4 linked regions of the Arabidopsis thaliana genome follow. The protein of the gene in region 2 purifies or fractionates together with the protein of the main gene of each other region. This does not show direct contact. Each region holds a gene or a part of one and is shown on either strand. Other genes may lie near its edges. The genes, in order: BSK2, GRXS17, GAPC2 and AT5G11870.

Region 1 (7,647 bases), on a different chromosome or scaffold from region 2:
AGTAATGTGGTTTGGCAAAATTATGTCAGTGAGCAACTTCACCAGGAGACCATATAACTGCATTACCATTTCCTCAAAGCCCCTATCCCAAAAATAGCTGTAAATTAACACGGTGGAGTAAATATGTTGGGACAAATATTGCATGAAACCAAAAAAATTCATAATTTACCATAAAAATTCTTTTAAAAAAAATCTGAGACCTTAATTTTTTCGACAATCCAAACACAACAGAGACAGAAGTAATGTTTTAGTATGGGCATTTTTGTTGTTAGCAACGCTTTGTCATGTAAACTTTTGCTACAATGATCTTCATGGATGTGTGAAACAGAGGCTGATTTGGTAAACCTTTTTCAGGTATCCCACGCCTCTTCAATGAGCCAAATTTATGTTTTCACACAATGGTGAGTCTTAGTTTTCCATTCCTAATGAGTATAACTCTCTTATGTTCATTGATCTGATACTTTTTCTATTATGATGTATTGATGTTCAAAGATAATCCCACAATGTCTTCATTACCAAAGCTGATATTTCTTTGGACGTGAGAAATAAAAGATCGCCGACATTTCTACTGAACACGCTTCTTGCAGATCTTATTCAGTACCGGTAAATTCTGTTGTGTAGTTCTCTAGAGAATAGTAATTTTCTTGACCATGCATCTAATGAGAATAAGGAGTTTAGGTTAATACTAATATCATTGTGTATATACTTGTCTCTTCTATTGGGGAAGCAGGTGAGACCTTACATTTTAGATCTTGGCAGCACCAACAAGGCCTACATTAGTGAGAGTGTTGAATTGCATCTCTTCTTAATTGTTTTGTTTTCGTGGTTTAGATAAAACGTACGTTAGTAGTGACCTTTGTTTTTCTTTTTTCAGAAAATACATATTGAACCACAACGCTACTATGAACTTTTTGAGAAACAGGATTATAATTAAGATAAAAGAATTAAAAAAGTGTGAAGGAATTAAAATTTTAATTTCAATGAAAATAAGGGGCCAAGTTGAAATATATAGAATATACAAAAAAGAAATTGTACAACTATTTTCCTTTTGTATGAAAATAAATTAGTTTTTTCTTTTAGCAAAAAATTAGTTCATGTATTTGCATTGCATCAACTAAAATAGTTATATTAAAAAAAGGATTTTTGTGTAGCTGTGATATTTGGAATAGAAAATCCAGAATAATAATATCGAAAATTGTTTGCTTTATCCCCCTTTCTTTTGTAGAAATTCTCATATGATTAGTGGATGATTCGGTCCAAGTACTATCATTTAAGGATCTGTGTAGTATTAAAATCTCGAAATCTCTATTCGTTATTAACTTTGTCGGTGAAGGGGTTGATATATAATAAACCGAAGACTTTTTGTGTGAAAAGAATCATGTAATAACGGTACTTATTCATTTTGTACTTATACTAAAATAAATACCGATTATGTTGGTGGTAGACTTCTAAATTTTAATTAGCTTTTTAAAAAGACCCTTAATTTTTAATAAAATTGATGGAAAGAGGAATAGTTACTTTCTATCTTCGGTAAAATTCAGGACCCAAGAAGGTCGAGGCACGTGCCCCATGATAGACTTGTCATGTGATGTGACCTATTTTCTTTGTCCAACAATTTTTTAAAACAAATTGTCATAGGCTAGAAGTCGTCAAAAGTTAATAAGCAAAAAACGCAATATTTCAAAAATAAAAAATTTAACAAGAATGAATGACACAAACCTAATCGTCTTGACATTTTATCTCATATATCAATAATGCTCAATCGAGTGTAAATACTTTTTTTACATAGTAAAAGGCGAATAAGAGAGCAGATCATGTAGCAATTATTTTCACTATTATTGTTATTGTGTTGTTGACTTTGATTTTTAGTTTTTAATAGCAGGGTACAAATTTGTACCTTCAATTATGTCACCAACGAGTGTTTGAGATAAGATTAGACAATAGTAAACACAAAATTGATGTAAGCTATTTAACATGTTTATTGAACTGTAAATAATTATATCTGTTTTAATATATTTTTTAACTATTTTTTTTCTTAATTGATATTTTATTGTATTAACACTCCTTCTTATTAACTTTGCAAAATAAACTGTCATCTTGTAAATTATTACCAAATCTTAACACTATTATTATTGACTTTAGAATCTAAGATATACCTAAATAATTTCTTAAGGCCAAAAAAAAAATTATCATCTTTTTATTTAAGTTAATCTAAGATATAAACATTAAGAGAAAGTTGCAAAATTAAAGAAAAAATATCTATCTTTACCTGGATACAAAACTTATACTTTTGGATAATTCATATGAAAGTCTCTCTTCTAATGTAGTAAAAACTTCTACATTTCACAGCTAAAAACTGAAACCCAAATTTAAAATTTCGTGTATAGTACCGAGGAAAAAAAGTATTTGCAAGCAAAATCTAGAGCAGAAAAATTTAAAGATCTTTTGCTTCACATGACTCTATTGTTTTTTTCTTACCTCTATTTTTTCAAGTCTGCAGCTTTTTGAAGCTATATTTTTCAGATCTTTCACTCTCTCTCTAGCTACTTCTTTTTGTCTTTAAGTTTTCAAATTTTATTAAATTTTTATATTCTACTGCCTCCTCAGCTTCTCTCACAAAGCACAAATCCAAGCCCCAAATCAAATCCCACCATTGTTTTATTACCTCAATCCAAGAACACTAGACACAACAAAAATCTCTGTTTCTTATCCAAATTTCTGATCTTTGTGGAGAACAATATTTTGATTGGATGTGAGACAAATGGGTTGTTTACATTCCAAAACTGCTAATCTTCCTTCTTCTGATGATCCATCAGCTCCAAACAAACCAGAATCAGGTAATAATACTAATCTCTTAGATTCTAAAAAACTCACATTTTGTTTGCTCACTTAGTAAATCTGCAGTTTTTCGTCTGTTCTTGTTATGGGTTTGCTTTAATTTGTGGGGTTAGGGTTTGTGAAAGGCTTAAAGCAGAGAAAAAGTTATAAAGTCTCTTCCTTTTTGGAATTAAACTCTTGTTTAGATTGATTTGCCTTTTCGGGGTATGTTTTGTTATGTGGTTACAGTAAATGGGGACCAAGTGGATCAGGAAATCCAAAATTTCAAAGAATTTGAACTAAATGAGTTGAGGAAAGCTACCAATGGGTTTAGTCCTAGCTGCATTGTCTCTGAAGGTGGAGAGAAAGCTCCTAATGTCGTTTACAGAGGGAAGCTTGAAGGGAATCATCTTGTAGCTATCAAGCGATTCTCTAGGCAATCTTGGCCTGATGCTCAACAGTTTGTGGTAAGATATCTGAGAAAAGGTCAATGCATGATTTGTTGTTCATTGATTCATTGTCTGATTTTAGACCCTGGGTGATTCTGTTGGACTATCTCTTAGGCAAACCGCATCAATGACTAGTCCAAGGAATGGTGATTTAGGTGTAGTTTTTAGTTACAGAAGAAGAACAAGGCATCATTTTTCGATAAAAGAATAAGCGTCCCTGAGTTTGGTTACCACTGAATTGTAGAAAAGTCGATAACTTCGGGTTTAAAGCTGCTTTTAAATCTTAGGATACGACTAATGTCTTGACTGTATATCTTGACTGCTTTTAAATAGGAGCTTTGTCCTGGTGTTGACCTTGTTTGACTTGTGAAATCAGGTGGAAGCGACTGGTGTTGGGAAGCTTAGAAACAAGAGAATAGTTAGTTTGATCGGTTGCTGTGCTGAAGGAGATGAGAGGTTGTTGGTGGCAGAGTATATGCCCAATGATACTCTCTCAAAGCATCTCTTCCACTGTAATAGTCTTATCTTTCTCTCGTTATAAGCTTGGTTTAAAGTCTTCTTTAGATGATTTACTCTCTTCTTTCTGTGTTTGTTTGCATTGTTTGCAGGGGAAAAGCAGCCACTTCCATGGGATATGCGTGTTCGAATCGCAGACTATATTGCAGAAGCACTTGATTACTGCAATATTGAGAACCGAAAAATCTATCATGACCTCAATGCATACAGAATCCTCTTCGACGAGGAAGGTGATCCTCGTCTATCTACTTTTGGTCTTATGAAGAACAGTAGAGATGGCAAAAGCTATAGCACAAACTTAGCTTATACTCCACCTGAGTTTTTACGGACAGGTAAAATTCTTGATCTTGTGAATCGTAGTCGAAGACAAACCAATTCATTATTGAAGATTAAAGTTCTCTGGTTTTTCTTTTGCAGGTAGAGTCATTCCTGAAAGTGTGATATTCAGTTATGGAACTATTCTTTTAGATCTTTTAAGCGGCAAACACATTCCACCTAGCCATGTATGTGCTTCCAATGTTCTAATTTCCTTCATTTTATCTTACTTTTTTGTCAATTGCCGAGGATTTTATTTGTGGTCTTCTTATCTGAATTGGTGGTGATGTTTCATATCAGGCCCTTGATATCATAAGAGGGAAAAATGCTTTGCTTCTTATGGATTCATCTCTTGAAGGGCAATATGCGAATGATGATGCGACTAAATTAGTTGATCTTGCTTCAAAATGCCTTCAATCAGAGGCAAAGGATCGACCAGATACCAAATTTCTTCTCTCTGCAGTAGCACCACTACAAAAGCAAGAAGAGGTTTAAAAGAATCCCTCCTGAAACCGACCATATCATGAATTTCATATCCAAATTTGTTTATCCTGGATTTGATTTTGTTGCTTAGGTTGCTTCTCATGTCTTAATGGGCTTACCAAAGAACACAGTAATATTACCAACTATGCTTTCTCCTCTTGGAAAGGCCTGTGCAAAGATGGACCTTGCGACATTTCACGACATTTTGCTTAAAACCGGTTACAGAGATGAAGAAGGTGCAGAAAATGAGCTTTCATTTCAAGAATGGACACAACAAGTGCAGGAGATGCTTAACACAAAAAAGTTCGGGGACATTGCTTTCAGAGACAAGGATTTCAAGAACTCAATTGAATACTACTCCAAGGTGAGAGGAAATAGCAACAAATCCATAATTCTCGGTGTTCGAAAAGAATTTCTAACCTCTGTATCTATGGTTTCCAGTTGGTGGGGATGATGCCGGTTCCTTCTGCAACAGTTTTCGCTAGACGGGCTTTCTCCTACTTAATGACAGACCAACAGGAGCTTGCACTGAGAGATGCAATGCAGGCACAGGTGTGCATACCAGAATGGCCAACAGCTTTTTACTTGCAGGCTTTAGCGCTCTCAAAGCTCGGAATGGAGACTGATGCTCAAGATATGCTCAACGATGGCGCTGCATATGATGCTAAGCGACAGAATAGCTGGCGCTGCTAAGCTATTAGAGGAAGTCCCAAATATTTATGGGTCTTTTCAGACTGTAACTGAAAGGTGTGTATGCATGTAAGAGAGAGATGGAATGTGTTGTTTACTTTTGTGAAATGAGAGCTTCTTTTTTTGCATGAATCTTTATGAAAAGTCAAATCTTTTGGGGAAAGAGAGAATAAGACTGCAAATAACTAATTTGATTCCTTCTTCCTTATGGTAATACAAAAAGATGGAAAATTCAATATGCTATTACAATTATAAACAACTTTACTGGGAAAAATAATGTTGCTTTTTAGTTTAGGATAACAGATGATGATACTTCATGCTTGAGAAGTAACTAAAGGTGGAAACTTTGATTCCAACCATGACACCAAATCCTCCTTTGTAGCCACAAAGATACCTGGCCTATCGCTCTGTCTAAATGGTGCAGAGAGTTGTTGCAAATGCAAGGCGAAAGAGTTTGCTAATCCCTGTGAGAATCTGTGAGTTCCTGTCCCAGTTTGCGCCAAAAACAGCTCAGGAAGTTCCTCTTGGCGTTTAATGATGTTGGCAAGTGTTCTCATCCACTCTTCGAGAGCGGTCTCAGCTGCACCAACTGATAATGACCTCACATCTAGGCTCCATTCTTTTATGGTCTTGTTGTGTAGTCCCGGGTATAGACCAAAAAGTGTTCCTAAGTAGAGAAGCTCATGAGCTCTCTCATGCCGGTTGTTGCCTCTGCATATATCTATCAAACAGTTGCAGAAGGGCCTTCTTGCCTCTACTTGGGTTGCATTGATCACTAACTTGAACTCTTCTTTTACAGTCTCATATTCGGTTTTCTCATCTACAATCAGATTCACAAATGTCACCAACTTCTTATTAGCTCGCTCCAAACAAGCCATAACCTTTTCAGCATCTTCACTACTCTCACACAAGGCCATAACTGAAAGCAGACACCCACAGAGCCTATCGTCAGGCTTAACTCCCCTTTTAATCGAGAGATCAAACACATAAACCACATCATCAATCCTTTTAGCTTTCCCTAAGCATTGTACTAAACAAGTGCATCCCATTACATTAACCTGAACCCCAGCTTTCAACATCTCTTCAAACAACTCCATCGCCTTTTCGGCTTTTCCACCACTCCCATATATATTCAGCATTGCTGTGTAACTAAAATTATCAGGTCTACATTGCACAGACTCCTTCATATCATTAAACAGCCTCTCTGCTTCTTCCTCCAATCCAATATCAGCACACATATTCAACAACGTATTGTACAAAATGAAATCCATCGGCCACTTCTTTGCCTTCATTTCCTCCCACAACTGAAGAGCATCTCTCGCCCACCTCGCTTTTCCATAAATCTTTACAAGAGCTGTCAAAGTTTTCTCATTTGGAGTTAAACCTGCCTCAAGCATCTCATTAAACAAACTCCTCGCCAAACCCGGTTTCCCTGCTCTCCCCATAGCTTCCAACAAAGTATTATACACAACAACATTAGGCTTCACATCCATAGATTTCATCTCTTGCAAAACATACCTAATCCCATCATAATCTCCAGCTTCACCAAACATTTTCCCCAACACAGAGAACGCTATAGCATCAGGTTTCCAACCCGTAGCCACCGCTCTTTCGTACAAACTAAGAACCTCCTCAACTTTTCCTGACTTGGAATAAACATCAAGAATTGCTGAGTAAGTGACCTCATCAGGCATCAGACCTGTTTTATACATTCTCTCAAACCACTCAATAGCTTTGTTGTAAAGATTGCACCTTTTAGCACAAGTGATGATTGTCGAATAAGTAATGTTATCAAGCTCAACACCATCCTTCACCATTTCAAGTGCCATCTCCTCAATAAGCTGAAATTGCCTCCCAAATCTCAGAGACTTCATTGTAACATTGTAAAATATAGTTTCCATAGGAAACAGACTCTTGGATTTAACCCAATTAAAGAAAGTATGAGTCTTTTGCCATTCTCTTAAGCTGTTTAGCACAAGCAATGCGTTATCTCTATTGGGTGGATGAGGAATCTCATCGAGAAGAGATAAAAACTCAGACTTTTCAGTGAAAATAGAACTATTGAGCTTCAGAGCAAAAGCCCTAAGATCCTTGATTTGAGGATTGTAAGAGTAAGCAGAACGCTTTTGTCTCTGAAGTGAAAGAACTGACCTTTTGGGTCTTGTTGGATTGACCCAGACAGATTTCGGTTTAGACAAGATTTGAGTTTGCTCTTGTCTGAGTGTTGTTGCAGAGAGAGGCTTGAGTTGCTCAGAGAGAGATGGGGTTTTTGTGGTGATTGGTTCTTCTTCTAGGGTTTTAGGTTGTTTCAAGGAACTGCAAGAAATGTTAAGCTTTCTGGAACGAGATTGTCTGAAAAGAGAAGGCTTTAAGAATA
Region 2 (7,186 bases):
ACGCTCGAGCAGGTAACTTCTTGGTGGAGTGATAGGCCTTCCAAACTCGCTGGACTACACTCTAAGGTTCGTTATTATAAAAAAAAACGCAGCTTCAGTATTCTCTTTTTTGTCCATACACAGCACACTGGCATAATATAGACGTGTTTTTATTAGGATTCGGGGTCCATTTATCGCAGCTTATAAGTAATGGTTTAATTATAGGGAGCGGTTACGGTTGGAAAACACGCAGATCTTGTTGTGTGGGAACCTGAAGCCGAATTTGATGTAGATGAAGATCATCCAATTCACTTCAAACACCCTGTAAGTACACAGTTTTTTCTAGAAAGATAGCTAATGGTTAAGCTCGAATAACACGAATGTGTAATCTTTATGTTATGTTTGCTTCTTGTGGTGTACAATAGAGTATCTCAGCTTATTTGGGAAGAAGATTATCAGGCAAAGTGGTTTCGACATTTGTGAGAGGGAACTTGGTTTTTGGAGAAGGCAAGCATGCTTCTGATGCTTGCGGGTCTCTGCAACTTGCAACTACTTAACTTAAAAAGGGATTTAAAAGATCTTGATCTGCACCATTTAAACAAATGTAAATATGCGATTAAGAGTTGCTCTCATGTTGCAAGATGGTTGATGTAATGAGTGAGTCTTTTTTGCCAATTGTAAGTTTAAGACTCTCTAAATCTTGTTGTTGGCTTTAAGGTTAGTGGACTCATGTATATATTGTTGATGCAAATAATTTATATCGCTTAAGTAAATGATGTATATATTGTTGATGCAAATAATTTAAAAGTATACATAATATTTGCATTGCTTGTTGTAACTAATGTTAATTTGAGTCAACTAAAAAAAAAGATGTTATCTTTTTAAATCACTTTTTGTAAGTGTTCTAAGTATTTGCATCAGTTTATCAAAATCATATATATGAAAGTTGGTCAAAATCATATATATTTGTCATGTGTCTATTAAATAATTAATGTAAGCTCTTCAACTTCTAATTTATAGGTTAATGATACATTTATTATTTATTTTTATATTATTTTATTTTACATATTTAATGTACTATTACTAAATTTATTTTAATATTACATGATTTTTCAATAAAACCATTTTAATAGTTTTTTCATACTCGAATATTTTTTTTGTAATCCAAACTCAAAGTATGAGTATATAATAATCATGGATTAGTTAGTGATTTGAGTAGGTTATTCTCTTAAATTGATATTTATATAATAAATCACCGAGGGTGTAGAATACGTACAAACCTCCATCATTTCGTCTGAACCCTCATTTTGCGCCGATTCTGTCAACAATGGTTGGAGGAAGAGGAAAACCTGGAGGAAAGGGAAGACGCAGTGTGAAGAAACAGGAAGAGAAAGAAGTTGAACGTGGTAGAGATGAGTTTTTATCAAAATCAAAAACTCCTCATCCAAAAGGATTTCCTCCAATGCAAGATCTAAGCACCAACGTGGTCACTAATAGAGGTGGATTGCAGCCTATGAAGGTAATGTAGTAGTATATTGTTCGCTTTTTGTTAATTGTTTTCGGATCAGTATACTTTTTTTTCTTTTTTCTTAAGGAATTGTGGGATGTAGAATATGTTCACATCCCTAAGAAATTGAGCTTGAAAACGGTTCTTGACAATATGAAACAAACTATGGCTCAACGTGGGTTCTACATCCGATCTGTAGATGCTTATGTTCGGAAAAGGTTTCTCACCGAGAACAAACCCCTTATTAAACGTCTTCGCCGATCAGACGTGAACATAATTGAATCACAAGAATACCCAGAGGAATATCTAGGTAAGACCACGTTATATTTATCAAAGTTTTGGTAACCTTAATGACGTCATTAAAGAGTTTTGTTTTTGATTAAATTTTTCTAATGGCATTATCATGTAATTAATTACAAAAATAAAGGTTACATTTAAAATGTACTTCCCAAATAATATAGTAGGATAATCGATGTTAATTAAATAAAATGACTTTCAATTAATTGTTTTTAAAAAGTATTATGTAATTTCATTAATTAATATGAAGGCAAACTTTGCATACTAAGTTTTATATTTTTTTACACCACCAAAAAACCAAGGTCACTATATGTAAGAAAACTATGAAACCTCTTTTTTTGTGGGAGAAATGTAGGATTTTGACAAATTAAGTAAACATTTACATCACATTTTATAGTCGATGATTAGTCGTTAACTAGTATCAGTTTCCATTGATGTAAATTTTGTATCATTTTAAATAGTGATGTTACACAAAAATTAATAGATGCATCAATTATCTAAATGATGTAAGCTTATATATTATATCATTTAAAAAAAAAGATAGTATAATAAAATAACTAAAAATACAAATGCTAAAATAATTGTGGATTTTTAATATAACAGAATTAAACAATTCCACACATACAAAACAAAGGAGAAAAAAAGAATTGTAACCTAATTCTTAGACTGTTTTATGAGAATCCAATTCGATGAGGATTGATATATACAATTCCTCTAATTAGTATTAATTTTAGAAAGAAAAAAATAGGATTAAGATTTTATTAGTCAAACTTACTTTTAGTAGTTTTAATTTAAATGTATCTAATATTTTTCAAAATTATTTTATTTTTAAAGATTGTTATCACCTAGAATTTTAACATTTTTACCTTACTTAATTTCCAATTTTTTTTTCCTTCCGCTGACATATATAATTTTACTATTTTTATAAAAAGAAATTACATAAGTGAGCAATTTTAGCATCACATTGGGCACACAAAAACCCTAATTGTATCGTTAGGTCCTTTTATTTTGTTATATTTACATAAATCTCCTTTCTTTCTCCAGCAACAGAGTGTATTCTGCTCGATAATAAATTGGTAAATCACAACACAAAAAAAAAGTGTTAAGAGATCCTTCTCCCTCTTCGAAGATGAGCGGTACGGTGAAGGATATCGTTTCAAAGGCGGAGCTTGATAACTTGCGCCAGAGCGGCGCACCAGTCGTGCTTCACTTCTGGGCTTCTTGGTGTGATGCTTCGAAGCAGATGGATCAAGTTTTCTCTCATCTCGCTACTGATTTCCCTCGTGCTCACTTCTTTAGGGTTCGTCTCTGTTCTCTTGACCAATTCAAAATTTTATCACTTTCAATGAGGTTTTTGACTGTTATTGGTTTTATCTTCTTAGGTTGAAGCTGAGGAACATCCTGAGATATCTGAGGCTTACTCTGTTGCTGCTGTGCCTTATTTCGTCTTCTTCAAGGTAAAGTTACGTTTTTTTTGTTCCCTATGATTTGATCAAAACTTAGGATTTAGGGTTTTTGTTTTTGCTTAAAGTTGTTTGTCTAATTTGGTAGAAGAAGAAGACATTGATGAAGTCATACTTATTGATTCTTTATGTTGCTTTGTTTGGTTGCAATTTTCTGTCTTTATAGCATTGAGAGTGTGTTCAAAAGTTTGAATCTTTGTCCCTATGTTTTGATCGAAAGTTTAGGATTTAGGGTTTTTGTTTTGATTAGTTTGCGTCTCTGTTAGATTACTGAAAGCTGTTTATCTAATCAGGTAGTAGAAGAAGATGGTTCGCCTATCCATTTAGCTCCAGACTTATTGATTCTTTGTTTTAATTGGTTGGTTGCAATTTTCTGTCTTTATAGGATTGAGAGTGTGTTCAAAGCTTGAATCTTTGTCACTGCACTGTAATGATTGTTCTGAAAGTTGTTACTTTCTTCTGACTGTGAATTCGTTTTCTTATTGAAGGATGGTAAAACTGTGGATACACTTGAGGGTGCAGATCCATCAAGTTTAGCTAATAAGGTTGGCAAAGTTGCTGGTTCTAGTACTTCTGCGGAGCCTGCTGCTCCTGCAAGCTTAGGGTTGGCTGCTGGGCCAACGATTCTTGAAACTGTGAAGGAGAATGCGAAAGCTTCTTTACAAGACCGAGCTCAGCCTGTATCTACCGCCGATGCTCTCAAGAGCCGTTTGGAAAAGCTCACTAATTCTCACCCTGTCATGTTATTCATGAAAGGTATTCCTGAAGAGCCTAGGTGTGGGTTTAGCAGGAAAGTAGTTGACATTTTGAAAGAGGTTAACGTTGATTTTGGAAGTTTTGACATACTATCGGATAACGAAGTGCGAGAGGGTTTGAAGAAATTCTCTAACTGGCCAACGTTTCCTCAGCTGTACTGCAACGGAGAGCTTCTTGGTGGAGCTGATATCGCAATAGCGATGCACGAGAGCGGTGAACTAAAAGATGCTTTCAAAGATCTTGGGATCACGACAGTTGGTTCAAAAGAAAGTCAGGATGAAGCTGGAAAAGGAGGAGGGGTTAGTTCAGGAAACACAGGCTTAAGTGAGACCCTCCGAGCTCGGCTCGAAGGTCTGGTCAATTCCAAACCAGTTATGCTGTTCATGAAAGGAAGACCAGAAGAACCAAAGTGTGGGTTCAGTGGGAAAGTGGTTGAAATCCTCAACCAAGAAAAAATCGAGTTTGGGAGTTTCGATATCCTCTTAGATGACGAAGTTCGCCAAGGCCTTAAAGTGTATTCAAACTGGTCAAGCTATCCTCAGCTTTACGTGAAAGGCGAGCTTATGGGTGGATCAGACATTGTCTTGGAGATGCAAAAGAGCGGTGAGCTGAAAAAGGTCTTGACCGAGAAAGGGATCACTGGAGAACAGAGTCTTGAAGATAGATTGAAGGCACTGATCAATTCCTCGGAAGTAATGCTATTCATGAAAGGTTCACCAGATGAACCGAAATGCGGATTTAGCTCCAAAGTTGTGAAAGCATTGAGAGGAGAAAACGTGAGTTTCGGATCGTTTGATATCTTGACTGATGAAGAAGTAAGGCAAGGGATTAAGAATTTCTCAAACTGGCCAACTTTTCCTCAGCTATACTACAAAGGTGAGTTAATTGGAGGATGTGATATCATTATGGAGCTAAGTGAGAGTGGTGATCTCAAAGCAACTCTATCCGAGTAAGTAATATATACAAGTCTCTGTCTGCTGGTTTGCCTTGGTGAGAGAGAACATTTCAGTTATGGTAATAATATGTTTTAGGTGTTACAAACATTGATATTGTTGCTTCTCAAGCTTTGTCTTGTTATTTCTATTGCTGAGTCTATTAGATTCATAACTATTTTTCTCTCTTTGTATCAACATAATCTTTATTTATGGTTATCTTGACCACATTTGCTTTTAGACTGAGTAACAAAACAAAGAGTGGTTTAAACAAAGAAAGCTTGATCCGACGGCTAGGATTAACACCAATCTTTCTATGTTACAGAGTTTCTTAAGATCCGACGGCTGGGATTTTGTGTGATTAAACTCAAATTTCTTAGAATCAAACCGAATGGAAATCATTTGTTTAGAGTTTAGACCAAACTGCAATCGAGCATTAACCGAGACTTTGTACATTTAAACAAGATTTAAACCAAAAGTCATCATAATTTTAAAATTGATACTGATATTGACAATTAGTTAAATATTAAACTAAAATGGTTTTGGTTTTACATTTCAATGACTTTTAGCCAAAACCGAACCATAATTTTACCAAACCAAATTTAACATTCTCCAAACCAAATAAAGAACCTGTATAAACCGAGCGGACACTTAAACCGGAAAATAAAATTAAAATTCGGACAAAGAAATTTCGTTAAACCCTAAACCCCAAAGGTCTTGTTTGCTGTATCTCCTCCATCGCTCCTGCGCCGCGTTTTCTCTCTCAAGCTCTTAAAAAACCTTTCTTTGATTTGATAATCCTAAAATCGTTTTTCCGAGGAAACCCTAATTTCTTGTTCGAACTCGAAAGATGGGAATTTTCGAACCGTTTAGAGCAATAGGTTACATAACGAGTACGGTTCCGTTCTCCGTCCAGCGATTGGGTACCGAGACTTTCGTCACCGTCAGCGTCGGCAAAGCTTTCCAGATTTATAATGTAACGCTCCCAATCTTCATAGTTTCACTTGCGTGTTCTTTATTCATTCGATTCTGTTGTTAATTTGGTTCTCTTGTTGCAGTGTGCCAAGCTCAATCTAGTCATAATCAGTAAGTTTTTCCTTCTTCTGAAACCTAAAGTTTTGTCCTTTCAATCATTCTCTTACTCAAATTCATGCATTTAGAATTGGGTTTTGTCTATGCAGTGTAAATTTTCTTATAATCTAATTTGTGTTATCTTAAAGGTCCTCAGCTTCCAAAGAAAATTAGAGCTTTAGCTTCTTACCGAGACTACACATTTGTTGCGTTTGGCAATGAAATCGCTGTCTTTAGGCGTGCTCATCAGGTATATCTCATTGTAACTATAGTTAAGTTGCTGCTTTTTTTATATCTATGAGTACTTTGTTTATAGTTGGAATTCTTGTGGGTATATCTATAGGTAGCAACTTGGAGCAAACATGTTGCTAAAGTTGATCTTCTACTGGTGTTTGGAGAACATGTGCTTAGTCTTGACGTGGAAGGAAATATGTTCATATGGGCATTCAAAGGAATCGAAGAACATCTAGCTCCAATTGGAAATCTTCAGCTTACTGGAAAGTTTACCCCTACCTCTATTGTTCACCCAGATACCTATCTCAACAAGGTGAGTCATACTTGGTTCAGGATTTCAGTTTTTTTTCCCCTGGTGTCTTCTGTTGACAAGCCTTTCTAACTCTTTGCATGTTTCTCTTACTTGGAACCACATTGGTAGGTTCTTGTAGGGAGCCAAGAGGGTCCGCTGCAGCTATGGAATATTAATACTAAGAAGATGCTCTATCAGTTTAAGGGTTGGGGTTCATCTGTCACCAGTTGTGTTTCATCCCCTGCCCTGGATGTTGTTGCAATTGGTTGTGCTGATGGAAAGATCCATGTACATAACATAAAATTGGACGAAGAGATCGTAACATTTGAACATGCCTCGCGAGGTGCTGTTACTGCTTTGTCTTTCAGTACAGGTAAACACCTAAGCCCTGTAGTTCTATTTGTAAAATCTTTGAGCGCTTCTTGGTTTTATTACCTTTTAAATCTAATTTCGTAGCGGATAATAGTTTATCAATCTTTTCTTGCTGATAGATATCCTATGAGTGTAGTGACCAAAAATAATTTCGTCCATTTGTCTTTAAGTGGAGCTAAATATTTATTTTTCCATTACATAGCTTTACCATCTATGCACCCATTGTTTCATGAATTAGAATTGTCCATACATGTTTCAGGCTCAAGAGATCCATTAGTGTAGG
Region 3 (7,640 bases), on a different chromosome or scaffold from region 2:
TACTTATCTATCACTATTAGTTTGTTTATTATAGTATCTTGCTATGTATACAAAGAGACGAGCTTTTGTTTGTCTACTGCCTCTTGAAGTTGTCTTTTAAGTTGGTCGAAAACATCTCCCTGAGTGAGCAATAGTAGAGGTATGAACTTGCTTAGTGAAGTGAACATTTGGGACTGAAACAAATAGTAAACATGACTGTGCCGTAGAATTCACAGGCAGTTTCTGTGTTAGATGGTTTAGTTTTGTTTCTAGAGGATGTGTGTGTGTGTGTGTATGTTTGAAAAGTGTATATATATCTATGTTTCAGCTAATGGCAGGCCAGCCTTAAACCTTGAAAGGCGTCTTGATCATGATGGTCATCCTCTTGCAATCACTACAGCAGTTGATGCTGTTGCAGCAAATGGAGTTACTCCTTGGAATTGGAGAGAGACTCCTGGAAACGGCAAGTCCTCAGAAAAAGCTTATATAAACTTAAGCCTCAAAGTTTAATTTTCTATAAGGCTAAAGATATGTTTTTTGAACTGTATGTTTATGTTCCAAGCATGGTGTAATATGTGTAAGAATCCACGTTTTCTCATTTTGAGGTTGCTTCACAGCCTCTGCTCCTCTGCTTGATTTATTCGTTCGGTCTCTTTATAACTGAGTAGAGCTTTTCATTTGTTTCATGTTTATACAAGCAGGTGATGATAGTCATGGTCAGCCTTTTGGTGGTAGGGTCATAACAGTGAAATTTGGTGACTATACAAGAAGAATCGGTGTTGATGGTAGTGCAGAAGCAATCAAAGAGGTAATCAGATCTGCTTTTGGGTTAAGAACTCGAAGGGCTTTTTGGTTAGAAGATGAAGATCAGATTATTCGCTGTCTTGACCGAGACATGCCCTTAGGGAACTATCTACTCCGTCTGGATGATGGTAAGATTAAATTTGCCACTATTCGTATCTTTTGAACTGTGTGTGTGTTTTTTACTGAATTGTCAGTATGCAAAACCCATCTTGCAGGACTGGCCATTAGGGTTTGCCATTATGATGAATCCAACCAATTACCAGTCCATTCAGAAGAGAAAATCTTCTACACTGAAGAAGACTACCGCGAGTTTCTGGCTCGACAGGGATGGTCAAGCCTGCAAGTTGATGGTTTTAGGAACATAGAAAACATGGATGATCTTCAACCTGGTGCTGTGTATCGAGGTGTGAGATGAGGAAATGAGATCACAAAACTTCTTCTCCAATTCTATCAACAGTTATCTGATCAGAAAACAGTCCCCTGTAGATATGATCTCATTCTCTTTATACATTTCTTCTTTTTTTCATGTACTTGCTCAAATATGAAATATCATAACTGGCATTTACCGTACAGACCAAGAAGACCTCAAAATAGATTTTTGGTCTGTTACATTTGTAAGAACAGAACATAAGAGAAGTGAATAAATTGTTCACAATCAGACGAGCGAGTGTTTGTGTGTGGTATCAGAGTCATTCTTCATCCCTTTTATTGTTCTTGTATGAAATGAGTGTGTTCGACCTTGTCAATCTGCAAAGCCAGAGAAACTTTCTGAACTTATACTACTGAGAAAACACTATAATGATTTGATTAACAAACACTAGTATCAAAGAATGTAATTCAACCACTCTCTTGATCCAGGTGAACGGTACAGCCACATCGGTATCAGTAAATGCTCCCAACACAACAAACACACCTTATCCAACCGCCAAGCCGATTAATGTCTCTCTCTCTTACATGTTTCATGGAGACAAGGCAAGCAAGTTATGCTGGAAGCAACTTGTCTCATTATAGCTTGAATCTCCCTCGTGATCTCCTTATTACTTTTCTCCTTTGAGACAGCGTGAAAAGGAGGAAGACAGAATCAAGACAGCATAAACATCACAAACATACAAATGAAACTGAGTTAATTGAAATGTTTATGCATAAATAAACCAACTTCTAGATCTTAAATATCACGTAAGTGGAATAACATTGGTTATAAGCAGATCATCAGGATAAGATTCCAATAGTTAAAGTTTTGCGTCAATAATTGTTTTTGTCGAGAAGGTTTGCATCAATTATTGCATCTTTCTTTCTATCTTTTTTTTTCTTTCTCTTAGAATCGAATTTTAACATATACTTTGATAATGATATATTGTGGTTCTTTTCACTTCACGATTACTTTAGAACATTGTGAATAATGACACTTCAAAATAAAAGGGATAAGATCAGAAATAACATATGAAAATTCCACAAAATCACTACAAATAATTCAGATAATGAAAAAAATACATGTACGTTATGTTATAAAATTCTCAAATATGGTTTTCAGCAAAAATAAATTTGGTTTTTTACTACAAAGTACAAACCAAAGTAAATTGATTTTACAAAGAAAAACGAATTAGAAAATCGTTTTTAAATCATAGAACTTATTCAGTCGAAGAGAATGGCTGACACTTGACGGGTCAGTTATAACTTATAAGTGGACTCTTGGAAATGATCATGAGTTATAGAAAGATCACAAACTTCAATTTATGATATATTGTTGACCTCAGATAATATTTTAGCTATTTATTGGATGTATAAAGATCCATATGAATACCAAAAGAAGGAGTTTTATAACCATTCACCTAACAAAAATGAAATGGAAAAAGAAAAGAGAGCAAATAAGAGGAGGAGAAGAAGAAGACTTTTGGCAAAAGCCAAGAGTCATACCTATTAGTCTATTACATAAGGTGTGATGTTTTTTTTTGCTGTCACATTCCATCTGACCTACCAAAGCTCTCAAAGTGGAGCATCTATTGTGTCTTGGTATAGAGTCACGATTAGATAAATATACAACACCATATGTACTTGTGTCAAATTATAAATATTTGAAACAGTAAGCAACCAGTAATTCGATAAAGACGTCTACAAGCATCTACACATCTAAATTGATTAAAACAAAACACCTTTAAATATAGTGTTTATGAAGTCAAATCTTCACCTTGATTATTCTAAAACAATGGTTGGAGTAATGTTGCTGAATGTTGAGTGAGAATTGACATTTGAGAGTAACTTTCACTATAATGAACTGGATGATAAAGTTGATCCGATAATAATTGAATTTACCATGAATGGTATCACAAGATACATGTATAGAAGACAGTGGTGTTACTTGTTACGCAAAATTAAAAAATGAGCATACTATTGCAGTTACTTTGGATTTATTAAGGAAAATTATGGTTTGACAACAACAATAATACAAAATCTTATGAAAATTAAATAAAAAGAAAAACAAATTTGGCTATTGGCAAAGCTCATTGGCTGTCAAAAGGAATATATACAAAATCTGCTACGTTGCAGTCTTGCGTGCACCGGCCCAGCCCATAGGATTAGAGTATTAAACCTCGAATATTCCATCAGCCTGCGCGTGAATCCAAGCGCCATTAGTTTCCCCAAATCAGTTCTTAATCCTACCCATAAACGATGGGTAAAAATGGTAAATAAGAAAGAAAGTAAAGTACAATATAGTAATATTAATTAGTGAATCTAATCTATTAGCCTTTTTCCCAAGAAAAAATCTCAGCCACTCGATCATATTTTCAATTTTCATCATCACGTTCTTCTTCTCTTTTAAATAACCCTAAATCCTCACCAAACCCAAACCCTCACTCACTATTTTCACATTCTCTTCTCTCTCGATATCATCTAAATCTCTCTCGATCTCAATTTCGCAAAATGGGTAAGCTTCTCGCTCTTGTTGATCTGCGATTCTTCGATTTATTGTTCTTTCGTTGATACTTTTTGAATCTGATCGTAATTTTGGTTTGTGTAGCTGACAAGAAGATCAGAATCGGAATCAACGGTGAGTGTTTTTCTTATCGAATTCCATAAGTTTTTTGGTTAGGTTTAAGTGATTTGGATCTGTAGAAGCTGAGTTTTGAATCTTCGTGAAGGTTTCGGAAGAATCGGTCGTTTGGTTGCTAGAGTTGTTCTTCAGAGGGATGATGTTGAGCTCGTCGCTGTTAACGATCCTTTCATCACCACCGAGTACATGGTTCGTTTCTTCTTCTCTTCGATACTAGTTCGTATCTGGATTTGAGTTAATAGTTTTATCTGAATTTTTGTTAATATACATGATGGTGTGTGCTGTTTATCATATAGATCTGAGAACTTGCTTTGTTGTATTCTTCTTCTATGTTGATTCTCTGTAAATTCGTTTTGACTGATTGTGTATATGGTATCGATTTGTTGCAGACATACATGTTTAAGTATGACAGTGTTCACGGTCAGTGGAAGCACCATGAGCTTAAGGTGAAGGATGACAAAACTCTTCTCTTCGGTGAGAAGCCAGTCACTGTTTTCGGCATCAGGTACATAATCATGGATGATTTTATTATAGTGGTTCTCTGTTATGTTATTGAGAGTTGTGAAATTCTGATTTGTGGTGTTTTATTTTTGAAGGAACCCTGAGGACATCCCATGGGGTGAGGCTGGAGCTGACTTTGTTGTTGAGTCTACTGGTGTCTTCACTGACAAAGACAAGGCTGCTGCTCACTTGAAGGTTTGAACTTGGATCTTTTATATAATAGTCGAGAACTTGTTTATTTAAGATCTATATCATCATCATATTGTTTCATTGTTATTCAGGGTGGTGCTAAAAAGGTTGTCATCTCTGCCCCAAGCAAAGATGCGCCCATGTTCGTTGTTGGTGTCAACGAGCACGAGTACAAGTCTGACCTTGACATTGTTTCCAACGCTAGTTGCACCACTAACTGCCTTGCTCCTCTTGCCAAGGTATCTTTTTCTGTTTCAACCCATAAACTTGTGTAAATTGTTCTGAATTCTGAATTTTAAGTTGAATCATTTCTCTTACAGTTGCAATCTATTTGTGCAGGTTATTAATGACAGGTTTGGCATTGTTGAGGGACTCATGACCACTGTCCACTCTATCACTGGTACGTATTTATATTTGGTTTCATTGGGTTGATTCTTGAAAATATGTATATTTGACTCAATAGTAACTGTTGTTTTGGTGATCAGCTACTCAGAAGACAGTTGATGGTCCATCAATGAAGGACTGGAGAGGTGGAAGAGCTGCTTCCTTCAACATTATTCCTAGCAGCACTGGTGCCGCCAAGGTATCATTTCAGCCTCTTATTTGTTTTAATTGATTTTGATTGAGAAATTATGTTGAATCTGATTTTTGTATCATGGTTGTTGATAGGCTGTTGGGAAAGTGTTGCCATCCCTCAATGGAAAATTGACCGGAATGTCTTTCCGTGTTCCAACCGTTGATGTCTCAGTTGTTGATCTCACCGTTAGACTTGAGAAAGCTGCAACATACGACGAAATCAAGAAGGCCATCAAGTGAGAACCATCAAGGACCCTCAGTCCTAACCATATCATATTAGAATTTATTGGGTACTTACAAAAGATTTTGGTTAAAACTTTTCAGGGAGGAATCTGAAGGCAAAATGAAGGGAATTTTGGGATACACTGAGGATGATGTTGTGTCTACCGACTTTGTTGGTGACAACAGGTATAAAAAATATTGTCTGTAGAGTGATATACAGTTTTCTGATCTTATAAATGGCGAGAGCAAATAATTGAAATATTGGGTTTGTGTTTATAGGTCAAGCATTTTCGATGCCAAGGCTGGGATTGCATTGAGCGACAAGTTTGTGAAGTTGGTGTCATGGTACGACAACGAATGGGGTTACAGTTCTCGTGTCGTTGACCTTATCGTTCACATGTCAAAGGCCTAAGCTTACACCGGCGAGAGTTTGTGTGTGGTTGAGTTCGTACTGTTCTGAATAAAAAAAAGGAGAAAAGAAAACTCGAGTTGTTATGTTTTTTCACTGATTCCATGCGCAGTCATGAGAGTTTGTAGCTTTTGTCTTTTTGCTTTCTCTTAATGTTTCCCTGCTTTATTTACTGAAACCATTGGTTTGGTTTTTTATGTTAATTAAGTTTTTAGTTCATTACTTTCTCGTGCTAACTCAAACCCAACTGGCAACTGGAACATTGAACGTCCTCTTCTCGTATTTTTAATAGTCTATTTGTACTTGAGCTTCTCCACCAAAATGGTTCTTCCTAGTCATATAGCTCACATTAGGTCAATCATCTTCGATTGAAAGCAAAAGTTACTGAGACGGATTTATTGGTTGATAAGCATCGCCACATTGTTTTTTAACGAATCAGCCAAGTTTGTTGAAACGGAGGATCAAAAATTGGAATTTAGTATTTCCTTGCAATTGCGAAGATCCAATTTTTTGGTTGACATCATTGTAAAATGATTGATATTATAATTTTATTTGCATGCTAACTTTTAAAGTTAATAGGAAACTCGTATTTTCAATAGTGACATGTTATTGCATGTGATAATACGATTATTTTATTACTTTATTAGTCGTAAATGAAGAGTAACATGCCACTATTGAAATGGTACTCATGAGATCACACGCTAGTTATTAAAGGAACATAGAAGTAAAGAAGGTTTTTATTGCAACATCAAAGAGAACAAAAACCACACATCAGTTGTAATGATACATCAAAGTTATATATATGACAATGTAACTTTTATTATTAAATAACGCATTCAAGAACACTTTTTCTGCAGTTCTTCACAAAGCACACGCATAATTCTAGAATTTCAAACCGGAACCTTTGAGTTTCTCCTCGACGATCATATCGATTTTATTTACCATTTCAGAGGTCATATAACTCTTCCAGTCACCAACTTGTCCTTTACGGAAATAAGTCTTGTAATCTACTCCACCCAAGGATCCAGTTTTGTTGATCTCCAAACTGCTTAAATTACTTAGAGAGCAAAGTTCCAAGATCTTGTCTACAGTTCCGCTATCTTCCTCTTCCTTAGTGAATGGACAATCCAAGAACTCTGCAAGTCTCTTGACCTGAGTACGAGGCTCCGCTTTCAACTCCTCGTACCTCATGAAAAGAAAATGCTTAGGATCTTCCAAGCTGCCTCGCCAATAGCTCTGTGCATGGTCCCAAAAGGGACCGTGTAGGGTAACTCCGTTGCAGAATGACTCAAATATAGCCTTGAAAGAATAATTCTCCGCTCGAATGATCTTTTCATTTTGGCTAAAATCTCCCCATTCTACTCCCTTGTTGGCATTGAGGAAACACCAAAGTGACACCAACACGTCTTTCACGTTCCTGCACACGTACACTACCTTGCAAGGAGACTTCTTCAAGGGTAGTTTAAGCGCGTCCAAGGACATATGAGTTGAGAACAATCTCGGAGATGATGATGATGATGATGATGATAAGAACTTGGTCAAGTCCGGTTTTGAGCTGTTGAGATACAGATCTAGCTCGAGGTACGGTACTATCTCATGAGGGTTATGAGATAGCAGAGGATGATGATGATCTTCTAACGAGTGTTTTGATCGTTGAACGAGTGCAAATGTGAGTGCTTTGAGCCAAGTCGTGCCCGATTTGTAGAAAGAAGCAACAACTATATCGGTTTCTTGTGGCTGAAAACTCGAGTGTATATTGGGGATTGATTGGAGAACGTCTTCGTAGTACCAATATCCTTGGTACTTGAAAAGCTTGTTCCCAAGGTAATCTATCTCCCAAGGAAGTGAAGAGATCAAAATTTTGGTTTCTTCGCTTTGATTTTCTTCTTCTTCTTCTTCTTCTTCCCTCAA
Region 4 (6,686 bases), on a different chromosome or scaffold from region 2:
TTACCATCAAAGAAAACACACGAGTCACGGTACACTCTATGGCGAAAGAGCTTTCTCTTAGGGTCAAGCACGTTCAGAAGTTGCTCAGCATAAATACTTTGGCTAGCTGTAAATATAATGATCTCAAAAAGTCGGGACACTCTCTCCATAAACTCTTTGAGGTGAGGACGGCATCGCACATACACCATATGCTCTTCTTCATTAAAATTCACTGGGAATGTGAAATCTACCTCACCACACGGCTCTAGAGTCGAGTGCACAAGAGTTTCTGCAAAATAAAACATATATGTTATAGTAGCCTTAAAACCTGGTGAGAAAAAACTAAGATTTGTGTGCCATTAAAACCTGCAAAGAGAGATACAATTTTAAACAAACGAATCAACTGAAAAGTAGCCTTACCATCAAGGTCTAGGACAAGAGAAATAGGAGGACAGCTTCGGGTTTGTTTAGGAAGCAAGACCGGCCTGAAAGTTGGGACAACAGAAGACAGGTTCGGCAAGTTCTTGATAAACAGATAAGGATCAAACTCATCGAGCTCCTCATCCTCTTCATCCTCCATGCATACCGAAGTAATAAGGGAATCTTGACCACGCTCGTCAACACATTCCAGCTTAGAGCTCTTCATCGCTAGATAAATGGCAGAAACCGAATCCAAGTTACAATTTGGATCTACGGTACTTGTATCTAGAGCAAGCAATCGATCATAAGGGTTCTGTGCATCCAAATCCCGAGAAGAAGGAGAGTCATCATCTTCCATTAAAACCCTATTAACATCAACTTGTAACTGAATTAGACAACAGAACTCAGAGCCTAATGCAACTACTCCACAATTTCAATATCTGACCATTATTCACATTCATACCCAAACACTACTATAAATCTACAAGTACAAGGTTCAATGATAAAGTTTTCAAATTTACCTTGTAGAAACTCTCTTCACTCCTGTAGCTACCGACAAAGCAGAGACACCGGAGATAGATCAGTTCCCGAGAGCCGTCAAATTACAAACAACTAGCTCATACACTATCTGAGAACGAAAACAGATCTTGGATTAGAAAAGGAGCAAAGCCCTAGATACAATTCACAAAGAAGGAACCAAAACAAAAAAGTACCCAGATTTAAAATATTTGAAAGATAAAAACTTTGGAGCCAAAAGAAGCAAAATTCGAAAACTTTTCATCGCGGAAAGTGACAGAAATCAATATTTTAAGAAAGAGAACCGAACCGGAACTGAAACCCACGAAATCGATTTCAGATAATTTTCAATTTTGATATATATATCTAGGGCTTTTAATACGAAAAAAGGGGGGAAAAAAGACATGTGGAAAAATCAAAGCTTTTTACTGGGATAAACGATGGATAAATCTAATCTTTCCGCTTTCTCCGCAAATTTCTCTGCAAATTTCAAAATTTCTTCAACGAAGCGCACACCTAGATTAAACTTCAGTAGCCCAGAAATTCGAGCTGAGATTGAAGAGCTAAGAAGAAGAAACGGAGAGGGAGAGAGAGAAAAAAGAAAACCCTAGAGAGAGTATATTCGTCGGAAAAAAGTACCTCCGATCAAAAACGATTTCTTCTAGCTTCCGTCTTCTTCTCTCTCTCTCTTCGAAATAAAAGAGTAAAATATTTGCTCGAAATGAATGACAGACGACTATAGTCTACATAAGCAATGAAATATTTCATTTAAATGCCCTCATACTTTATTAATATTTCATTAGTAACCTCGATAGTTTTTGATTTGTTAAACTAAACCCCAAACATTCGAAGAGTATTAGGCCGGTAAATGATGACGTCATCTCCGGTTGGAGGATAGTACAACGATGCCGTAGAGAACTAGAGAAGTGTCTTTTTCTTAAAAAGGAACCTTCTGTTTTTTACAAATTGAACATGCATGTTATGGATTATTGGAATAAAAAAAACGTTTTGAAGACTTTTGAATATTTTCTTTGAAAAATGAAATTATACAAGATTATGTGACTTGATTAGATTTGATGTTACAAGTTAAGTTGGTTTAGAATAATCTTTGTTTAGTACTACTATATATAGGATGATCTATTTTTCATTGGTTATAGCTAGAATGCTATATAGAATTGTGGAATGTTGTTTCATGTCATGATTATGCAGATTTATTACCAAACACATAAAAGATTAAGAGGTATGACATGAATGACGTGTTCTGCTGATTATGTTTACGACGAAATCCAAATAAAAGACAATTTGATCCAACACAAACTGAAAAACACTCAACCTGCCAATATTATTCAAAGAAATGAACAACATCAAACTTGTATTCAAGCATGGCACAATGGATGATTCAGAGAGGACATGATGGCTTAAAACAACATTGATATATTTACGTTCCCAATTTGAGCTTTAGAATATATGTTTGTAATTTGAGAATACATATGATTGTTTCATCTTCTTCCCCATCTTTCTCTTATACTCTTTCGTTTTCTTGAATACTTTGTAGCATAAAGAGCATTTAGACTCTTAGTTCATTCTCTTTTGAACTTTGTCTCATGTTAATCCCATTTTTGTTTTTGTTTCATACATGGCTATCTATGTGGGTTACTTCTAAGAACTACAACAACACATCAAGGATATATAATTTAGCAATTTTCTTAGTTAACTTTTCCTTCTCCTAGAAACACTAACCAGGAAACAGTTAACTAAAACCACTCCCGCCAAGTTTTGAAACGTTGTACATATATATAGGAGTGAAAATATTACTTTCAGAAACATGGGGTGGGATATATATAAGATATAAAAATGTAAGGGGTTACTTTACAAATAAAATAGAATAGAAACAAAACGTAGACGTTTAGAGCGGTCCTCGTCAACTACGACAACATTAGAGATCGATCGTCGTCGTCGTACCCGTCAGACTCAAGGAAAAAGAAAAAAAGAGATTCCGCCGCACGTTGTTCTAATCGAAAAAAGCGACTCTCAATAAATCTGTCTTCCCTTTTCTTTCTTAAACTGGAAGAAGATTAATCAATCAGACACAACAGAGATAACTGATTTATCCACTTCAAACAATACAAACCTTTAAAGTCTTCACCTTTATAGAGAGAACTTTTAATGGTGTGGTTGACGAATCAACAGATAGGGAGATGGAAAAGGAAACGAATTTTGGTTGTGGGATCGTTCCTCTGTTGGTCAATCATCATGTTCATCACTCCCAAAGTTCCTCTCGATTCATTTCGCCATCATATCTTCGCCGATAAACGCAATTTCATGGGTATCATCATCATATCACACTCTCTCTTCTTTTTTTTTTATCTCTCTCTGTCTCTGTGCATGTGTAATAACGAGAGACAGGTGTTTTGTGTGGGTTTGATGATGAACAGGAGTGCCTAATACATTGAATGTGATGACCAACTTTCCCTTTCTTATCGTTGGAGTTCTTGGTTTTGTTCTTTGCATTGGAGGAAGCTTCTTCAACATAAGGTATCATTCTCTTTCCCTTTTTTGAGTTTTATTTTGAGTTAGTTTAACAATTTGAGTTGTTGTAATGCAGTTTAAATGGTGAGATCTGGGGATGGACACTGTTCTACGCAGGCATTGCAAGCTTGGCTTTTGGTTCTGCTTTTTATCATCTCAAACCTGATGACAACAGAATCGTCTGGGACACTTTGCCTGTTCGTTTTTCTCACTTTACTTTTCTTCGGAACATGAATCTTCTTTCAGTTATGCATTCATTGCTTCTTGATTAGTGATGCGGTAATTGTATATATTGACAAGCACATTGTGAATACAAAAAGTTGAAGAATCATCTTATAGCTATGTAAAAAAGCTTAGATTAGACTTCATGGTTTTTCTTGGATTGGTTGGTTCTACAAGCACATAGTGAAGTGAACACAACTCTTATAGCTAATGGAAAGAAGCTTTAGAGATTTTTCGGGTGTAGAGTTGTGGTTTTTGGTTTTATTGAATGGAAAGTTGTTTTTGCTCATCATTTTTGATGGTTGGTTTATGAATAGCTGTTTGTTGATTAATGACGGTAAATTGCAGATATTGATTGCGTATTCGTCGCTTTTCTCTAGTTTTTTGGTTGAGAGAGCGGGGGAGAAAGTGGGACTTAGTTGCCTCATCTTGCTTCTATTTATATCATGTCTCAGTGTTGCTTACGCCAGGTAACATTAAAACCAAGAAAGCATTACCTCCTCTGTATACATATATGTTCATGGTTTTAGTCAGGTTTCGGATTGAAATTATATGTGTCTTAGTTGATGGCAGAGTGTTTAATGATCTCCGGTTATGCATGACGTTCCAGTTGATACCGTGTCTGGTGATTCCCGTCATGGCGGTTTTGTTACCTCCCAAATATACACACTCTAGATTCTGGCTCTGGGCAACAGGTTTTTAACTCAAAACCACATTTGCGGTTTTCTTATTAGAATCCACGGTCTTCTGATATCTGCTTATCATGAATGCAGCGGCGTACACTATTGCCAAGATTGAAGGACTTGCAGACAACAAAATATACAATGCAAATCGATATATCATCAGTGGGCATTCACTGGAGCATTTGTGTTCTGCCGTGGCTACGCTTTTACTTACCATTATGCTTTTGTATAGAAGCATTCGGTTTAATAGGTAACGTTTTTTCACTGACTCTTTCTCTTTGATCTTTGAGTTCCTTGAAACCTGAGAGGATTTTTCACTTTTCTTTTGTATGATGGAAACTAAAACAGATTAGGTGATCTCAAAGGCCGTCCTTGACATTCATTACTGACTCCTCAAGTTTTTTTTCTCTTGTATTTAGATGCTTCTGGATTCTTGTATTACAAATTTTGTTTGGTTGCTAGATAGATTTTGACCCATGATCCCACTAAAACATCGTTAGCTTGGTGTAATCTTGGTTTCTGGTTCTGAAACAGCTTTGGCTTTAAGGTTACTTATTCAAGTCTTATATATGTGTTTGGACAATGGACAATTTTACATGTAGTAACTAAAAAGAAACCAAAAGAATAATCATAACTCACAAATACACCTTTTATTTTCGGTCTTGACTTGTGACCTGTTTCTTATTCATATGATCACTTTATTGAGGACTTTAAATCATAGCACAGAATGTGGAAAAATCCAAGACAGCAATAGCATTATAGAAACGTAATCATACAATTCATCTAAAATAGCAACAATGATGAGTAAATCTCGGAGTTCATAGTCCTTCAAAGAAACGTAAATGGTCATCGAATGTCTCAGCATGCCTGATCTTAGTGATCGACCCATCTTCTTCAACCTGCAAAAAGAAGAATATAAATCAATCACTTTCTCTCAGGATCTTGACCCTCCGCTAAATTTCCGCAGAAAACGATAATAAGAAACAGTATTGTTACCCAGTATTCCGGGGGACGCATCTTGAGATTGTAAGTGGAAGCCATACTCATACAGTATGCACCAGCGTCATGAACCACCAGACCAGCTCCCTGTAACGTATACAAGAAACTAATTAGATTCCATATTACTTGAGCTGCCAAACATAATCAGATCCTTATAATACCTGTGGAGGAGTGGGAAGCTCTCTGTCTTTGCCCAAGAAATCAGCAGATTCACAAACAGGACCCACTACATCGAATTTGGTAACCTCTGCTTCAGGCGGTGTAGGAGAGACCAACTCAATATGCTTTTGCGTTAAAAAACAAAAACAAGAGGATGTTTAGCTATAGTTCAAAGGGACTAGAATCTGCAGATGCTGTTGTGAAAAGTATATTTGTTTTACCTGATAGGCATCATAAAGACTGGGACGGATAAGCTCAGCCATACTTCCATCAATCACTATGAAGTTTTTAGTTCCATTCGTCTTCACACCAGTTACATGGTTGACGAAACAACATGTGTTTGCAATCAGTGATCTCCCTGGCTCGATTATTAGATTCAGGTCTCGTGAAAGAACCAGCTCTCTTACCTATGAAACACATCCAGGATTCTAAAGATTCTACCATTCCAGTACTTTTGAGATCAAGATAAAGAAAAGAGTTTTGAGCTGTTGTTCTTACGGTGTTGATAAGATCCATGGGTGTAGGAAGGACAGCGCCGGCATGATAATAATCTATCCCTAAACCACCACCAATGTTCAAGTAGCTAACCTCAAAGCCTTGACGCCGGATTTCATCAATGTATTCAATCATGAGAACCGCAGCATCTCTGAATATATCCACCTGAAATAAACAGAACATACGTGAATATGCAAAGCTCAAGACTCAAGAGTTAAAATTTAAGAGATTGATTACATTAAAACACAAATTAAAAGGAACTATAGTCGGAGTTACCTTTGTAATGGTAGAACCAAGATGACAATGAGCTCCAACAAGCTTCAGCTCTTTGGGATGTGCCTTCACTTCATCCAGAAACCATTGAAGCTTCTCGTTCCTAATACCAAACTTCGAGTTCTTGTTCCCAGTAGCTACATATGGATGCACCTAAAATGGTAACAAACAGAAAAAGCTCATTCATATCCAAGCTAAAGAATAGATTCTAGGACATGCTGCTAAAAGATTGAAAATTTAACCATACCTGAGGATCAACATCAGGATTGATACGCAACAACACATTGACCTGCTTACCAGAAATTCTTGAAGCTTCCACAATGTTATTCAAGTCAAACTCACTATCAACATTTACGAAAACACCTTCTTGAGCAGCTAGAACTAAATCTTCCAAAGACTTTCCATTTCCAT

The links.
Region 1: the proteins of GRXS17 (region 2) and BSK2 purify together in Arabidopsis thaliana (affinity purification with mass spectrometry, with the first as the bait; one study listed by BioGRID). This does not show direct contact.
Region 3: the proteins of GRXS17 (region 2) and GAPC2 purify together in Arabidopsis thaliana (affinity purification with mass spectrometry, with the first as the bait; one study listed by BioGRID). This does not show direct contact.
Region 4: the proteins of GRXS17 (region 2) and AT5G11870 purify together in Arabidopsis thaliana (affinity purification with mass spectrometry, with the first as the bait; one study listed by BioGRID). This does not show direct contact.

What each region holds. Positions count from the first base shown.
Region 1 is NC_003076.8:18,891,926-18,899,572, forward strand, and holds BSK2 (BR-signaling kinase 2), read left to right. Parts: upstream 1-2,452; 5' UTR 2,453-2,761; coding exon 2,762-2,837; intron 2,838-3,066; coding exon 3,067-3,284; intron 3,285-3,642; coding exon 3,643-3,778; intron 3,779-3,874; coding exon 3,875-4,114; intron 4,115-4,199; coding exon 4,200-4,285; intron 4,286-4,397; coding exon 4,398-4,586; intron 4,587-4,671; coding exon 4,672-4,944; intron 4,945-5,021; coding exon 5,022-5,273; 3' UTR 5,274-5,481; downstream 5,482-7,647. Other genes in the region: AT5G46580 (pentatricopeptide (PPR) repeat-containing protein), read right to left, coding at 5,585-7,647. UniProt on the Arabidopsis thaliana protein: Probable serine/threonine kinase that acts as a positive regulator of brassinosteroid (BR) signaling downstream of the receptor kinase BRI1. Mediates signal transduction from BRI1 by functioning as substrate of BRI1.
Region 2 is NC_003075.7:2,515,651-2,522,836, reverse strand, and holds GRXS17 (thioredoxin family protein), read left to right. Parts: upstream 1-2,774; 5' UTR 2,775-2,912; coding exon 2,913-3,083; intron 3,084-3,165; coding exon 3,166-3,240; intron 3,241-3,734; coding exon 3,735-4,955; 3' UTR 4,956-5,241; downstream 5,242-7,186. Other genes in the region: ALN (allantoinase), read left to right, coding at 1-66, 205-303, 405-536; AT4G04940 (transducin family protein / WD-40 repeat family protein), read left to right, coding at 5,785-5,910, 5,993-6,020, 6,155-6,255, 6,349-6,552, 6,661-6,904. UniProt on the Arabidopsis thaliana protein: May only reduce GSH-thiol disulfides, but not protein disulfides. Participates probably to the maturation of iron-sulfur proteins and to the regulation of the redox state of the BOLA proteins.
Region 3 is NC_003070.9:4,606,557-4,614,196, reverse strand, and holds GAPC2 (glyceraldehyde-3-phosphate dehydrogenase C2), read left to right. Parts: upstream 1-3,318; 5' UTR 3,319-3,702; coding exon 3,703-3,706; intron 3,707-3,799; coding exon 3,800-3,829; intron 3,830-3,920; coding exon 3,921-4,021; intron 4,022-4,221; coding exon 4,222-4,337; intron 4,338-4,428; coding exon 4,429-4,528; intron 4,529-4,614; coding exon 4,615-4,761; intron 4,762-4,861; coding exon 4,862-4,922; intron 4,923-5,007; coding exon 5,008-5,105; intron 5,106-5,191; coding exon 5,192-5,334; intron 5,335-5,422; coding exon 5,423-5,506; intron 5,507-5,599; coding exon 5,600-5,732; 3' UTR 5,733-6,120; downstream 6,121-7,640. Other genes in the region: GT-1 (Homeodomain-like superfamily protein), read left to right, coding at 308-442, 681-911, 999-1,198; ST4C (sulfotransferase 4C), read right to left, coding at 6,612-7,640. UniProt on the Arabidopsis thaliana protein: Key enzyme in glycolysis that catalyzes the first step of the pathway by converting D-glyceraldehyde 3-phosphate (G3P) into 3-phospho-D-glyceroyl phosphate. Essential for the maintenance of cellular ATP levels and carbohydrate metabolism. Binds DNA in vitro.
Region 4 is NC_003076.8:3,822,639-3,829,324, forward strand, and holds AT5G11870 (Alkaline phytoceramidase (aPHC)), read left to right. Parts: upstream 1-2,781; 5' UTR 2,782-3,081; coding exon 3,082-3,241; intron 3,242-3,350; coding exon 3,351-3,450; intron 3,451-3,520; coding exon 3,521-3,641; intron 3,642-4,014; coding exon 4,015-4,136; intron 4,137-4,239; coding exon 4,240-4,361; intron 4,362-4,439; coding exon 4,440-4,599; coding exon of another isoform or gene 4,600-4,603; exon of another isoform or gene 4,604-4,697; coding exon 4,698-4,725; 3' UTR 4,726-4,935; downstream 4,936-6,686. Other genes in the region: SSP5 (SCP1-like small phosphatase 5), read right to left, coding at 1-268, 400-757; AT5G11880 (Pyridoxal-dependent decarboxylase family protein), read right to left, coding at 5,168-5,248, 5,346-5,435, 5,510-5,632, 5,729-5,914, 6,006-6,167, 6,279-6,428, 6,523-6,686.